2 linked regions of the Drosophila melanogaster genome follow. Changing the gene in region 2 together with the main gene of any one other region gives a genetic interaction. Each region holds a gene or a part of one and is shown on either strand. Other genes may lie near its edges.

The links. A genetic interaction does not mean that the proteins touch.
Region 1: of DopEcR (region 2) and rut, changing one suppresses a phenotype caused by changing the other (phenotypic suppression), as found in Drosophila melanogaster (one study listed by BioGRID).

Annotation. Positions count from the first base shown.
Region 1 is NC_004354.4:14,821,956-14,829,982, reverse strand, and holds the start of rut (rutabaga), read left to right. Parts: upstream 1-3,909; 5' UTR 3,910-4,021; intron 4,022-4,077; exon of another isoform or gene 4,078-4,237; intron 4,238-5,055; 5' UTR 5,056-5,194; intron 5,195-8,027. Other genes in the region: CG14408 (uncharacterized protein), read left to right, coding at 1-847, 1,952-2,195. UniProt on the Drosophila melanogaster protein: This is a membrane-bound, calmodulin-sensitive adenylyl cyclase. Inactivation of this cyclase leads to a learning and memory defect.
Region 2 is NT_037436.4:4,374,356-4,381,903, reverse strand, and holds the start of DopEcR (Dopamine/Ecdysteroid receptor), read left to right. Parts: upstream 1-1,516; 5' UTR 1,517-1,973; intron 1,974-2,304; exon of another isoform or gene 2,305-2,307; 5' UTR 2,308-2,483; intron 2,484-3,904; exon of another isoform or gene 3,905-4,536; intron 4,537-7,548. Other genes in the region: CG32240 (uncharacterized protein), read left to right, coding at 418-518, 577-714, 778-976.

The sequences.
Region 1 (8,027 bases), on a different chromosome or scaffold from region 2:
TGGGTCACCACGAGTGCCCCCACCTGCTAACCGATTTCGAGGCGGTGCTCACCTTCCCGCAGAAACTGGCCGGTGGCATGCACAAGTCGGCCAGCACAGGTGCTGCGGCGGATGGGGAAGCCGGATTGGGACCGCTGGGCCTGCACGCTCCATACGAGGTGAAGTCGGGCAGCGGATCTCTGGCATCGGGATCCGCTTCCGTCTCAACTTCGGCTGGCGGTGCTCCGGCGGACAACGACATTGAGCAGTGGACGGAGATCCGGCTATCGCATTCGGATAGCACCAGTTCCAGCTACTCCAATCAGTCGCTGCTCGAGCAGCAGGGCCTGGATTCCACGGGCGGCATGTCCGGCGGCTTGGGTCTCGGCCTGGCCAGGAATCATCTCGATGCAGATGCCCAGTCCCAGCACTCGACCTCGTCGTCCGATGAGCCCAAGCGCAAGGTGACCTGCACGACGATATTCCAGGACGATAGCAGTGCATCCAGCGGCGGTGGCCAGCAGATGAGCCGCAAGCAGAGCCTCAGCCAGTGGTTGTCCCGCTCGAATAGCTTCAAGGGCAGCGGACGTCGCCAGAGCCTCGATCTGCTAATCGATGCCGGCGACAAGGTGAAGGATGTGTTTAGCTACGGCTTCCAGAAGGTGGGACGCAGCCTGGAGCGACGCAACAGCGAATCGGAGATGTCCGGCGATTGTGCAGCCGAAGGTGATGCACTGCTCGGCGGCACAACGGACGCACTGGCGCTGAGCGGTGGCGGAGCATCCGGCGGAACCGGCAGTGCAACCGGTGCAGCAGGTTCCGGTTCAGGATCTGGCGGCGGTGCCGGTGATTTTTTCCTCTTCAGCAGGTCAGTAGACGGTAATGGGGCAAAGGGTGGCGGTCGTAGTCTGCTCAACTCGCTGCACAGCCGCCTTGCCAAGCTCATTTGAACTCAGAACTCAGAAATCGGATTTCGATTCCGAAACCGAATTTGAATTTGAATTTGAATTTGAATTTCGAAAAAATATATGTATACCCGAACCGAAACAGCGATGATCAGCGCAATTTTTGCACCCATCTAATCCAACCAACCAACCAACTACAAAAATGAACCACCAACCAACCAACTGCAAAATTTATAAAATAGTACTCAATTTACTAATTACTAATATGAACGAATTGGCTGCTTTGATTTGGTCTCTGCTTTTGCTACTTTCAATCTCACAAAAATATATCTTTCAAAAAAAAACTAACTGCAACAACTACAACAACAACAGCAACAACAAGAACAACAACAACAACAACAAAAGCACGAACGCACACTCGCTTTAACCTCAAATTCTGTATGTACTGCTCAAAACGCAAAAACCAAAATCGAGAAATATCTGTTGTGTTTTTGTTTCTAAACGTTACCTTTTTCCCACTCATTAATCGCTTTGAATCGCTATTGCCTTCTCCCTCTAAGCCGAGTCATCTTCATATCGCTATCCCTGTCTAATTGAATGTACCTACGTTGAATAGCCTGTACTCTAGTTTTCAAAATTACCACTTTTGAGTTTAGTTGAATTTGAAAGTTATCTTAGGGGATCTGCCCATGAACTTAAATCTTATTATTTCAATTGAAAACTTTTTAATAAGAGTCTTTTGAAATTAGTTTTCCAAGTCTGTGAAGTATATTATACTATAATGGATCATAAGTATATAAAGGTATACACAAAGTGTATTATTTGCCAATTTGTATTATTTTCTTCATTGTTTTTAAATGAACTTGTAGAACTTGGAGTACCGGTTATCTGTAAGTCGGATAACATCGACTTTTTTTTGTTTAAGTGTTGTAATTGCTTACCTGTCCTATCACCCACTGTATATCATATGTGTACCCAATTATCTATCTATCGAATCTCAGTTCTGTGTTTTTCGTTCAGTTTTAACTATGCAAAGCTATTACATACAAAACTAACTAACTTTGCAGATCTTCAGAGCCAAAAGAGTTACTGTCCGATGAGCAGGTTGAGAATTTACTATTAAATCACTTGGTGGATGAGAATGGTGCCATTATAGTGGAGGAACTCAAATCGCCAACAACAACCACAAGCATGTACCACACACACCAACATCAACAGCAACAGCAACAACAACAACAGAATCAGCAGCAGAAGCAACAACAAAAGCAACACCACCAGGCACTAAACGTGGTTGGAGCCTTGCTGTTTTGAGCCGACAGCGAAATACCCTACACTTAGAAAAAAAAATCAACACCAAAACCGCCTCACCATCACACACACACACACACACACACATGAATGCGGTGATGGGAAAAGTCACTTTTAAATGAATAATTGCAATATAGTTCATAGATAATGATCGAAAGTGCCACAAGAAGTATTTAAAGTTTCAAAACTATGCACTATTTTTGAGCATTTTTGTAACGGAATTTTCGAAAGTACCTTTCTTCAATTTAGAAAACTCTTGTTTGGCCGCTGACACAACTTCCCCCATCACTGCACGCATACAAATATGAAAATTATGGCAAAATTTTACTCTATGAGTATTAGGGCATACTTACGATCGATCCAAAAAATCCAATTAGTCAAAAGCGTAGCGTACATATCATTCAAATACAAAAAGACATCAATCCCAGGTGGATCGAAATGGATGCGAGATGATGGATGAGCCAGCAGGAATCTTTTTAAATCCACACCAACGCACTCAGGCACGTGTGGCAAACTATGTTCTAATCCTAAATAAATGATGTGCAATAATTTAGTTTATGTAGTGGCATATACATAATTAAGAAAGTTACATTTTATGCTGTTTACAAAAAGCAAATAACTAAATGCTAGTCAACAAAAACGAAATCAGTTTAATAGTTTTAGTGTGTACGAGCTAAATATTCGGCAAAATGATTTACAAGAAACCCACAAAAATACATAAGAGTGTACAAATAATGGTAAATGTGGTGTGCACTGAAAGAAAACGAGGAGTGCGTTGACAATTCGCACCAAAAGCCGAATCAGCAATATTACTTTATGGAGACATTTGAAATACAAGCGACTTGCAAATTGTCCGCGAATTCTTCGGTTTTCTTCTGTTTGCGCCACTGAGTGTTAAATAATTGCATATATAAATACCTGCATAAAATTATATGAAGTGTATTATACAAAACTGAATGTTTCATTTCGAAAACTGGGCAGTTAGTGAATAAAATGGGGCTGCCATTTTTAATTGGTAACTATAAAGCTTTAGTTTCATTCTTTGTTATAATACGTAAAAAATCAACTTTAAAATTGACTAGTTTGTGTTATGTTATTAAATAATATAGCATTGCCTTTTAACGGTTTTCTATTTTAGAAATTTCATTTGACCACCATTCTTCAGCCTTTTGGTATTTTCTAGTTTAGTATTTCCTACCAAATAAAAAACTTATTCTATGATTATGCCCATTAATTTTTACTCAAATCCCATTTAAAATTTTTGATTAATTGGTGTATATTTTAACTTAATATTAAAAACTATATTCAAAATCAATAAGTAATCTATAATAACACAGTACCTAGAAAACCAGCTGATTGCTGATAATATGTAAGACATGGCGATAGACTTTTGAAAGCTTTTGCATTTCAACTTTTATTCGCCATACAAGTTGCATATAAGTGAACATGTACGCATTAAGATCAGGAACTTTAAAAACCACAACGTTCGATCTCCATCTATCAATTTGAAATTGGTATATATTGTAAATAACGCTGATAATAGGATTTAAAATCACACCAGCTGATATACGATATATCGATTGGGCTATCGCAAGCAGTGGCGCCCCATCTCTACGATAGTGCTTTCGCTGCACGCCGACGAACGCTTCGTGCAACTTCGTGCAGCTTCGTGCCACTCGGTTCGCAGTGGTTCGCTACGAACCGCCGACGGACGCTTTAGTTTGGCTGCAACGCTTTGCTGAGAACAGACCAAATCCGAAGCGAGCGGAGCCGAAGAGAAACCGAACAAACCAAACAAACCAAGCCAAACAATCCGAAGAAATCGCGTCGTGAGTTGTGTGGAAGGAAAAGCGGTTAAATAACGCGGCGATCTTAACTGTTGTTCTTCTTTTTTTTTTTCGGTGCTGGTGTATTTGCACATTCTACTTTTTTTTTCGTTCTATAAAGTGCCACTTTGTGTGTCTCGCTGGTCGTTTGTTTTCTTTTTGTCGTGGGAAATGCGCGCGCGCATTTAAGAAGTGGCAGGAAAACTCCAAACGCAGCTGGTAAAGATTCAAGTTTTCCAAAAAAAAAAAAAAAATAATAATAAAAGAAAACCAACAAGAAAAACCGAAAACCCAAAAAACAACAAAAAACACGAATGCATTGCCAGCAGATGATAAAGAAGGAGAGCAAGAAGAAGAGCGCACCGCGACGCCTTCTGCTGTTGTGGTTGTTGTTGCCGTTCTTGGCCGTGTTTGTTGTTGTCGTTGTTGCCGCTTTTATCTGCATTGTCTTGCGTCTTAACTCGTTTCGCTTTGGCCTTTTCGGCTCTCCTCTCTCCCCGTTTTCCACACTCCCCCACTCTTCTCATCATGCCAATGCGTGTGTGTGTGTGTGTGTGTGTGTGTGCCGTCCATGGATGCGCTTTGCCACTGGCTTTTCCCTCTCTTCTCCACGTTCCTCTGTCTCTTTGCCACACACACGCCTTTTTTCGGCTTACGGCGGCGGCAGCAGCGGCAACAACAACAACAACAAGCTGCCGCAAAAAATCGATAACGGTATTGGCAGCGGCGGCAGCACAAGAAAACGGCAACAACTTCCGCTTCCCCAAAAGTTGCAAAATGTCACCTGCCCCAAGGATTAGATAATCAAAAAGGGCACGCGAAGAGAGAGAGCAAAGAAAAGCAATAACCAAGGGAGAGAGAGAGAGAGAGAGTGTGTGGGAGTGGGCTTAGGCTTGGGCTTGCCACGCCCCCCGCCTTAAAGCGTGGCTGTCACAATTCTTGTTTTAATTAAGAGCCAAACATTCAATTACAACTCGCTTGCTCTCTCACTCGCTCCCTATCGCTGTCTCATTCGCACCCTCTTACTCTCCGCTCAGCCATCTATGCATCTTGGACCTACAACAACAATAATAACAACAACAACAACAAGAGATACAGAACAAGGAGGCAAAAAAGTAACAGAAGAAGAAGAAGCAGCAGCAGTCAACTTGCAACACAATCGTTGTTGCTTTTTGGGTAAGTGTTTTCCTTTGACGAAATTCAGTTTGAGATACTAAGATACTTTTGCATCTCTGAAGTACATATATACGTAGTTATGGATAAGATACACATGAAATCGGGAGAAGGTTGAAACGTTTTTATTCATTTTAATATTTAATACAAATTAGAATATGAGTAAAGTAAATATTATATTTTCTCAATACATGTATATAAAATTTAATATTTTATTGAAAAGAAAGAAAGAAAGAAAGAAAGCAAAAATAGAATGAAAAATATAATCGAAAATCCTATTTAAATAACATGAATATTATTATATATGTAGAACTGAAATTTTATCCAAAAAAGGAAAATAAAATTAATATTAGTACTAACTACTTATAGCGTTTTTCATAAACAATTATTATCTTTAAATTGTTGTTTAACTAGATTCCAGTTGGATATAACACAAATCCGTCAACTTTAACTGCTGATCGTTATTAGCTTACTTTTTATTGTTTCGATAAAAAGTAAGACTTTTAGTTTATGACCAATCATTTTTACGATGATCATACATTTATGGCTATTAATAACAACTACTTAACTGTGTATTTGACTAACTAATGACTTGACTAGATAATTGTAGCTTCTAAGCCAGTTTAAATGGCTTCTATTCATAGATTTTCACTAGGGATTTCGAATTATTTAGCTCATTTATTATCTGAATCATTAGGGCGATGGCTATAAATAATTGCAACCCTTTTAACAAATTGCCTTTAATATTATAGTTTTAAATTGTGTGTGCTGCAGCAGCTGACACATGTGTTTTCTTTTCGCCCCGCCGACTTTTCATATTTGTGTTTGTTGGAATATACTATTCAACCTACAAAAATAACGTTAAACAACACTACTTTATATTTGATATGAATGGCCACACCTTTTATGCCATAAAACATATTGTAAGAGAATACCACTCTTTTTATTCCTTCTTTCCTTCTTGTACGTTTTTTGCTGTGAGTAGGTCGTGGTGCTGGTGTTGCAGTTGAAATAACTTAAAATATAAATCATAAAACTCAAACATAAACTTGACTATTTATTTATTTATTAAGAAAGGAAATATAAATTATAAATTACAACAGGTTATGGGCCCAGTCCATGCCTAATAAACAATTAAATTGTGAATTAAAGATTGTGAAAATAAATTGTGAAATAGCATTTTTTTCACATTCTTGTGAAATAGCTTTTTTTTTCACATTCTTGTGAAATTATTTCCTTCTCAGAATTTGAGTGAAAAATGGACAAGGCTAAACGTAATATTAAGCCGTTTGATGGCGAGAAGTACGCGATTTGGAAATTTAGAATTAGGGCTCTTTTAGCCGAGCAAGATGTGCTTAAAGTAGTTGATGGTTTAATGCCTAACGAGGTAGATGACTCCTGGAAAAAGGCAGAGCGTTGTGCAAAAAGTACAATAATAGAGTACCTAAGCGACTCGTTTTTAAATTTCGCAACAAGCGACATTACGGCGCGTCAGATTCTTGAGAATTTGGACGCCGTTTATGAACGAAAAAGTTTGGCGTCGCAACTGGCGCTGCGAAAACGTTTGCTTTCTCTGAAGCTATCGAGTGAGATGTCACTATTAAGCCATTTTCATATTTTTGACGAACTTATAAGTGAATTGTTGGCAGCTGGTGCAAAAATAGAAGAGATGGATAAAATTTCTCATCTACTGATCACATTGCCTTCGTGTTACGATGGAATTATTACAGCGATAGAGACATTATCTGAAGAAAATTTGACATTGGCGTTTGTGAAAAATAGATTGCTGGATCAAGAAATTAAAATTAAAAATGACCACAACGATACAAGCAAGAAAGTTATGAACGCGATCGTGCACAACAATAATAACACTTATAAAAATAATTTGTTTAAAAATCGGGTAACTAAACCAAAGAAAATATTCAAGGGAAATTCAAAGTATAAAGTCAAGTGTCACCACTGTGGCAGAGAAGGCCACATTAAAAAAGATTGTTTCCATTATAAAAGAATATTAAATAATAAAAATAAAGAAAATGAAAAACAAGTTCAAACTGCAACATCACACGGCATTGCGTTTATGGTAAAAGAAGTGAATAATACTTCAGTGATGGACAACTGCGGGTTTGTCCTTGATTCTGGTGCTAGTGACCATCTTATAAATGATGAGTCGCTGTATACCGACAGTGTGGAGGTTGTGCCTCCACTTAAGATTGCAGTGGCCAAGCAAGGCGAATTTATTTATGCCACTAAGCGTGGTATTGTCCGACTACGGAATGACCATGAGATTACACTGGAGGATGTACTCTTTTGTAAGGAAGCTGCTGGTAATTTGATGTCCGTAAAGCGTCTCCAAGAGGCAGGAATGTCGATCGAATTTGACAAAAGCGGTGTAACCATTTCGAAAAATGGGTTAATGGTTGTCAAAAATTCAGGTATGTTAAACAATGTACCTGTGATCAATTTTCAAGCATATTCTATAAATGCTAAGCATAAAAATAATTTTCGTTTATGGCATGAGAGGTTTGGCCATATAAGCGATGGCAAATTATTAGAAATAAAACGAAAGAATATGTTTAGTGATCAAAGTCTTCTAAACAACTTAGAGTTATCATGTGAAATTTGTGAACCCTGTTTAAATGGTAAACAGGCAAGACTTCCTTTTAAACAATTGAAAGATAAGACCCATATTAAAAGACCACTTTTTGTAGTACACTCAGATGTCTGTGGGCCTATTACTCCAGTTACTTTAGATGATAAAAATTATTTTGTGATCTTTGTTGATCAGTTTACACATTATTGTGTAACTTATTTAATTAAATATAAATCTGATGTGTTT
Region 2 (7,548 bases):
CAATGTGGCAAACTTGAATTAGTTAAATGATGATCCCGCCGGGCAATCGATCGTAGAATGTTCGACGATCTTCGACCTTGGCGCCATTTTAAGCCTTAACTTCCAGGTTGTTAAGGATAAGCAGCATAAGCATCTGGCATCGATGCATTGATCATGCTTTCGCATTAATGAGGCAATAATTTAATTGATACTTTTCCAAAGCTACTGCAGCAAATCATTCTTTTGATAAAATGCTTACTATATTATGTATTAAGTCAGCACTGCTTTTCCTCAACACTCAAAGCTCGAATAACATGAGATTTAGTATTATTTTTAAATTTCAAAGAATCAAAACCAACGCATAACACTAGTTAGCTGATTTTCAAAATTTTATCCGGTCTTCAAAAGGTAGCCAGTCGCAGCCAGTCGATCAGGCCAATGATGATGCCTCAATTTGTGTTCTGGAGGAGGGATGCCAAAAAGACCCAGCTGGAGCAGATCTCGCCCATCTGGAGGGATTTGAATGCTACATTTGTGACGTAACACGCAGATAGGATCACTTTTACTTTATGTTACTATATACCATTTTTCATATAGGGTTCTCAGCTGGAGTTGGCTCATCTACGCACTTTCCGCACTGGTAATCATCACTTGTGCATATTTCGCTTATTGTGAGCGCTGCCGAAGAACTGAATCAGTGCGACGACGACGGGTGATTCAAAGAGCTCAAGAGCGGTATAATAGTTATGATTTAAATTTAACAGTTTGTGTTAATTTATCATTTATACACCATTTAAGACCGCCACAAAAGCGACGACCGAATGCGGCCTATCGGGATCACCAGATCTACCGCCACATCATCCTCAGCGTGGCCAAGTACATGAAGAATCCGGATGGTATTCGACCCTTTATAGAACACATGGAGCAGCTATATCCACTCAGGCATAACTTGGCCGATCAGCAGCAGGTGGCCGAACCAAGTGCTGGAGAAGATTAGTGATCAGGGAGGTAAAACCAAAAGATTTGAATCCAAAATTAATAGAATAAATACTGCGAAAATTAAATTTATTTTCATAAGTAGTCTTAAATGCAATGAAGTGCTCTCACTTATTTAATTTCCTATCTACTAATATTATTTCTTTAAAAAATAGCTTAGAGATGAGAACTTGGAGATAATAGATACCAATTGCAAACTAGAGTGGGAGCAACTAGATAAATTAATTAGTTTAACCAGGCTCATGCTTTTGGCCAACTAAAATTGGGTCATGCGCAGTGGGAGATTCTGGTTGGCGGTGCCTAAAAATATGCAGTGCTATTTTTACCTGCCACAAATATAAACAAACGCCATGTGCGTTTGCCGAGCTTTCAGCTGGCGAAAGCTTCGCTTTCTCTCGCTTCCTGTTGCTGCTTTTCCATTTCCATTTCCAGCCGCCCTCTCTCTCAGATCTCTCTCTCCCTCTCTATCGTGCGAGAGAGAGTTCGCCGAGTTGTCGGGGCGTTAGCAGAAGAGAAGAAAAGCGATGGAAAAACGGAAAACAGTTGCCAGTTAGACAGTGAGCGCGTCGCATCTACGCACGCATCGAAAAGATTCAGCGGCAGCAGCAGCAGCGCGTTCAGTGGTTGTTGTTGTTGGAAACGGTGGAAGCACACACACACAGCAGACACAACACCAACACACGCCCGCACACACACACACACACCAACACGCGGCCAGCAAACACACTTTTCGGCTGGCCTTAATTTTCATTGCATACCAATGCCAATCACAATCAAAAATGGAATATTTGAAAATTTGAAAATTCGAATGGCAAAGTGAATTCAATTAAATTGTGCAAATTACGAGCTTGAGGATAATTGAAAAATCAAGGCACACACCTGCGCACATGTGTCTGTGAGAGGGTCCTGTGTGTACTGGTATCTGTGTGAGAACGCCTTTGGCTGTATGTGTGTTGAAGGCTAAGCAGAAAATCAGCAGCCCACGGAAAAGCCAACAAGTAAAGCGAAAAAAATTAATGTTGCATGTGCCCCGAAAATCGGGAAATTGGAAATGGAAATTCAGTTAACCATAGCAAGAAAGTTCGACAGTGCAAAGTGACAAAGTTTGAAAGATATATTATTATCGCGACACCAAAGCCATAAATCGTGCCCCTTATAAATTATCTTATCTGAAAAGAAAATCCATTTAAATCAACACCACCTAATGCATGCATTAAAATATTATTTGATTGATTTATTAGTGAAAAATACACGGGCTGCTTAAAGTTCCTTTGAGGGCCACCGACTTGGTTAGATATATCTTAAGCCCACATTCATCTAGATATTTTACAGTTCTTGCCTGTTGCAGCCAAAGAGTTAGCAAACAAAGTGATAAAGACAAAGTGTTCAAGAAAAAATGTAATAAATACCCATTAAATATTATACAAGAAATCAACTTAATACTCAACCGATCAACTGGAAAAACTGAGCAATGTCAAGGCAAAGGTTCTCAACACGAGCAGTCTCAGGTGAGCAATTTTTCGGTGGCAGGGAGCATCAAGTCGAGCTTTGCTCCAGACGCATCCTACCTCAACACAAAAAAAAAGCGAAGATAGATGGGAAGAAACAGGGAGCGAGAGGGAACGCGAAAGAGCGAACCAAAACATAAACAACCCCGAAAAGAGCGAAACTCTAGAAGTAATGGTCGAAAGGAAAGTGCTGACACTTAAAAAAAAAGAAGAGAACTTTGAGAATTTTTAATTTTTTTTGATAATTTATTTAAGATAACATTAGACGTGTTTTTTTGACAATTACTTGGCTATAATGCACCTTTTTGCGAGTGTCTAATCTATATAGCTGTGTAGTAGACTATGGAGTGAAACAAGCTGTACCGTTAAAAAAAATTTAAATAGTCTAAAGACTTGAAATTTATATTGGGATATTTTTTTCGCAGTGCACTTGAACCTCCACTTCTCCTATCGGAAATGCTGTGCTGTTCTTCTCATATCCCTTATGCTCGGTCCTTCGGTGTTGATGTAGAGATACGAAAATAGGCAAAGTTTAGCACAAAAAAACGAAGAATTTCAGTTGGAAAGCTCAATGCAAAGAATGGCAGCATTCGTTGGGGATTAGCCAAAGCCAAAAGACTTTGTGCAAATACTGAAAAGCTCGGCCTGAGCGCATCATTTTCCACGCAAATTTCGTTTGCGAAAATTTCAATTTATGTGTGGCAAACAGGATTTGCAGTATATGTCTGCATATGTATGTATGTATCTGTAACTCGGTCACACGTTACACGCTTCTCCGTTTTTTTTTTTTCCCCACCATTTTATTGACTTTGTCGTTTTATAGGCAATTTGTCTTCTGGCAGCCGTCGATAGCTTTTGCTGTGTCATAAAATTACGCGCCAAGCGAATGCCCCGTATCCTTATTGGTATCCTTATCCTTATCGGCAAGGACCGGGTTTCGAGCTTGGACTCTTTCGCTGCCAAGTTGTTTATATTGTCGTAAATTTGCCTTCAAGGACGCGACAACACCGCACAGTCTGCCGCCTCCCACCGCCCCCTACCCGCTCACATGGCCATTTTATCGATCACACAATGGGAAATTTCACACGTTGTCCCAAAGGGCTGGAAAATGGGTTTGGAAACGTACAGTGGTCGCTCCTGGCTTTAATTAATTCGAATCACCAGGATATGGATAGACCCACTGCAACAAATTGGGGATATAATTACAGAGAACTGTATCTCCGCGTATAGATCATATAACGTATTAGAAATACATAAGTAAAAAATTACCATTCAATCTATATTTTAGATCTAAGAATCTTAAAGATACAATATCTTATTATTATTGGATACCTACACATTCGCTTTACGCAGAGAACACTGTGGCAACAGACCCGTTGTGTTGAGTTGCGTTTCGTTGCTCGTCTTTAATTACGTGCGCTGCAATTGGCAGCTTCAAGGTCGTTGCCGTCTTTTGCATAATTAAGGGTCACCCACCGCCGCCCAGCGTGCCACCCCCTTCTGACTCATTGGTGCACCCATCGCAAGTGGCTTTTGTTCTTGCAACACAGTTTCAGTTTCTGAATAATGCAATTGACGCGGTCGTGTAGGCGCTGACACAGTTGCCATTTTTCACACATGACCAGCCGGAAAACAGAAACCAGAAACCAGAGACCAGGCACAACTAACAACTGGCACCGTGCGACGTGCAACGTGCGACGAGCAGCATGCAACATTCGCCGCATGTCCGGCAAGCGAGTGCAATTTCCATAGCACACTTCAAGGCTGGCCGCTGTCTAATTTACATGGCAAATGACGCTGCTCTGGCTTTCTCCGCTTTCACTGCTTTCTCCGCTTTGCATTTATGACTCGTGACGTGCAATGGCGATTGTCCGCCAACCATTTTCTTCGCCGTTTTGTGTTTCGACACACGTATTCAATTAGCCCGATAAAGGAAGCAAAATGCCGCAGCTGCTGCTGCCCACACATTTGCATATGAAAGAAAGTCCGGGAAAATTCGAGGGTGCTGATGGTGCTTGTTGGCGGGAAATGTGAGCCGTTTTAGCCATGAAATAAAACGGTACCATCAACATTGGCAGCAAATTTTAATTGGACTCTAATTCGACTTTATCTTCGCAGATAAAATCCTTTTACCCAAAAATGATCTACTTAAAAATATTGCTTTTTGGAATTATATATTTTATTTATTGCTTTACTGTGAAGTATTCAAGTTTAAGTAATTAATATATCTTTTTCCAATCCGGTCTGCAAAGAATTTATTTGCACACATTTATATCTCTTTTGATTTATGACCACAACGTGTCGCGTATATGCCGTGTTTTTTATACATTTTGTGGAAGACACCAGTAAAATTTTGGAAGTAAAAGTGTTTTTTTTTTTTGGCGGCTTTTAGGTTCGACAACAAATAGCTGGCAAAGCAAATGAGACAAACCAAACAAGTGTTTCTATATTTAAATATCTTAAGAGAACAACAAATTTAACATAACAAATATGTATGATGAAATTCTAGTCTGCTATTGACGAGCAAATACTCTGCGACACAGTTTAAACTTTTATAGATGGTTCTAATCTATTATTTGGTAATTATCTCAATTTGTTTTTCCGCTCACAAAAACAACATTTAGCCCAATGAAAGGAAAACAAAACAAACGCTGGTCGATAGTCGGCCTAAGTGGACACACCCATTCAGCCTAAATTCTCCAACACTCCCCTATTTTTCGCTCTCAACTTTCCGCCCTCGCACCCGATTTCCCGCCCCGCGTTTTTTTCCGATCCCCCCGCCATGCCTTTTTACCTCCTTCCACGCACACACAAATCGCAACTCTCTGTTTGTCCAGGCCATCGTCTAATTAGTTGTGGGCTGTGACCGCCTTGATTTATATATTTATGATGGGCGTGGCCCTGGGCTAGTGCCAACTAATTGCCGCCGGGCATTCCCATTTCCATGCCCTTCCCTCATTTCAAATGCAAGGAGTAGCTTTCTATTTGTTACCCCAGGAATAGAGACAGATGCAGATACAGATACAAAACGCGTTCACAGATACACACGTTAATAAGTGTGCATTTGGCAGCTGCTGCGAACAAATTGCTTAAATGTCAAACCGTCCTCAGAGCTTCCGACTGAATCCCGGCCAGACTTGCCAGCTCTTTTAGCGTCAGCTGGCACATTAAGCCAATAAGCCTTTGGTGCACTGAAAAAAAACTAGGGCAGTGAGTAAGTCATATATCAGTAATGCTACTGTAATGTTATACTTGTAGAAAAATATTTAGGACTGGAAGTTATATTAGTAAAATATAATTTAAAATTGTTGACCAGCTAACAGTATGCTATATAAATTAATTTTGTACATTTTTTCCTCTGTGTACGTGCATAGAAACCGCATAGTCATGATCCCGCCCTTCGTTATTGGCTGAATTCGTTGATTCCCCCCGTTTGCTTATCAATCAGACAGCGAATAACAGCAACAAATAAACAAGTTGCTGCATTTAATAAACCAGCAAAGCAACAACAACAATGCAGTGAAAAGGAGCCATGGCGGGGATGACAAATTGATGCATTGCCGTATTGATTGAACGACTGGCTTTGCTATTGCCAGTGCCACAATGAACGCCTTGACTGAATGTCAAGTCGCAGCATTGAAATGAATTTCGTGTTGGGTTTTTTCTTTTATTGATCGATTGTTCCAGTGATGTGTGTGTGTGTGTTATGTCTGTATGTGTGTGTTGATGTGGGGGTAGGATATAGCCGGTATCAGGAGCCAATACAATTGTCCTTAGAGCCGAGTGCCGCCAGTCTTATTTATTACGCATACGTCACGTTGTCGAGTGTTGGGCTTGTGGTTGGAAACGAAAGGAAAATGCCAGCCCATGACTGTGACCTTGCCAATTGTAGAACATCTGCAAACCATTGCATTTTGCCATATTCAAGATATTTCCAAAAAAAAAAAAAAAATACAATAGAACCTTCGCCCAAAGGGAAATCAGAGTTAGAGCGCTAGGAAAATCCAGTGGGAAATAGAACAATATAAAACTAAGCACGAGCGCGTCGCCAAGTCGCTGTTTGCCCTTGGCCCGAACCACGCCCCCTCTCTCTCTCTCTCTCTCTAACTGCCCCTCGCGCAACGCAAAATTGGCCCAAATAAAAAGCATTGCGTATACGACATGTGGTACGGCATTTCACAATGCGGTTTATGGCCATAACAGCGGGTAGCACGTGAATTTAAGTTGGCCCAATCACGCACCCCCCGCCGTCATTTATTTTGAGGACGCAAAATATTCAGGGCATTTCCCAGGCAAATTGGATTTCTTTTTACGACGTTCCTTGGCCAAATTACTCTTTTCGGCTGCCTATTATTATTATTATTATGCCAATGTATAGAGAACGAACACTTTTGGATGAGCTAACATTTTCATTAAATCAATTTAATCGATTCTTTATTACTTTTTAAACTTTGTTTCCACATATCTACGAACATTGCAGTTCAATCAATGCTATTCAGTATCTAATTTTTTGGAATTGAAGTTTCCCAAATTGTTTTTGTGGTCGAACTGTTGCATTTTACGGCAAAGTTTCTAGCGTTCTGCCACTTTGATTGCAATTTGCCTGCAGGCATTTTTCGGTTGACAAAAGTTAGTGGCCAAAGAGTTTGGCTCGGTGAGCGTGGGGCAAAGCAACAGGCAGCAGGACCGCCTGCAAAGTCCTTAAGCTACTGAGTGACAGGAGCTGCCAAGTCTAGCCCGGCGCCACCGCCTTCGGCGACTCCTCCGCCCCCCCGAAGGACGAGCATTTCCAGGCATATGCGACACTTGACATGCGTAAGCATAAATTATGCAGTCGCCGCAGCAGATGCACTGAGCAAAACAGGTGGCGCCATGTAAATACGTTGCACGAAACACCAATTGTCAACTGGCTGCTGTGCTGCGAAAATGAAAATGAAAATGTAAATGTAAATGAATAGAAAAGCCAAGGTGAGGTCATGCTTATGTAAAGACGCAGCCACGTGAATGGCGACGATGACGTGGCACCCATCCGCAGCAGCCTTGCCAGCCTTGTCAGCCTGCCACC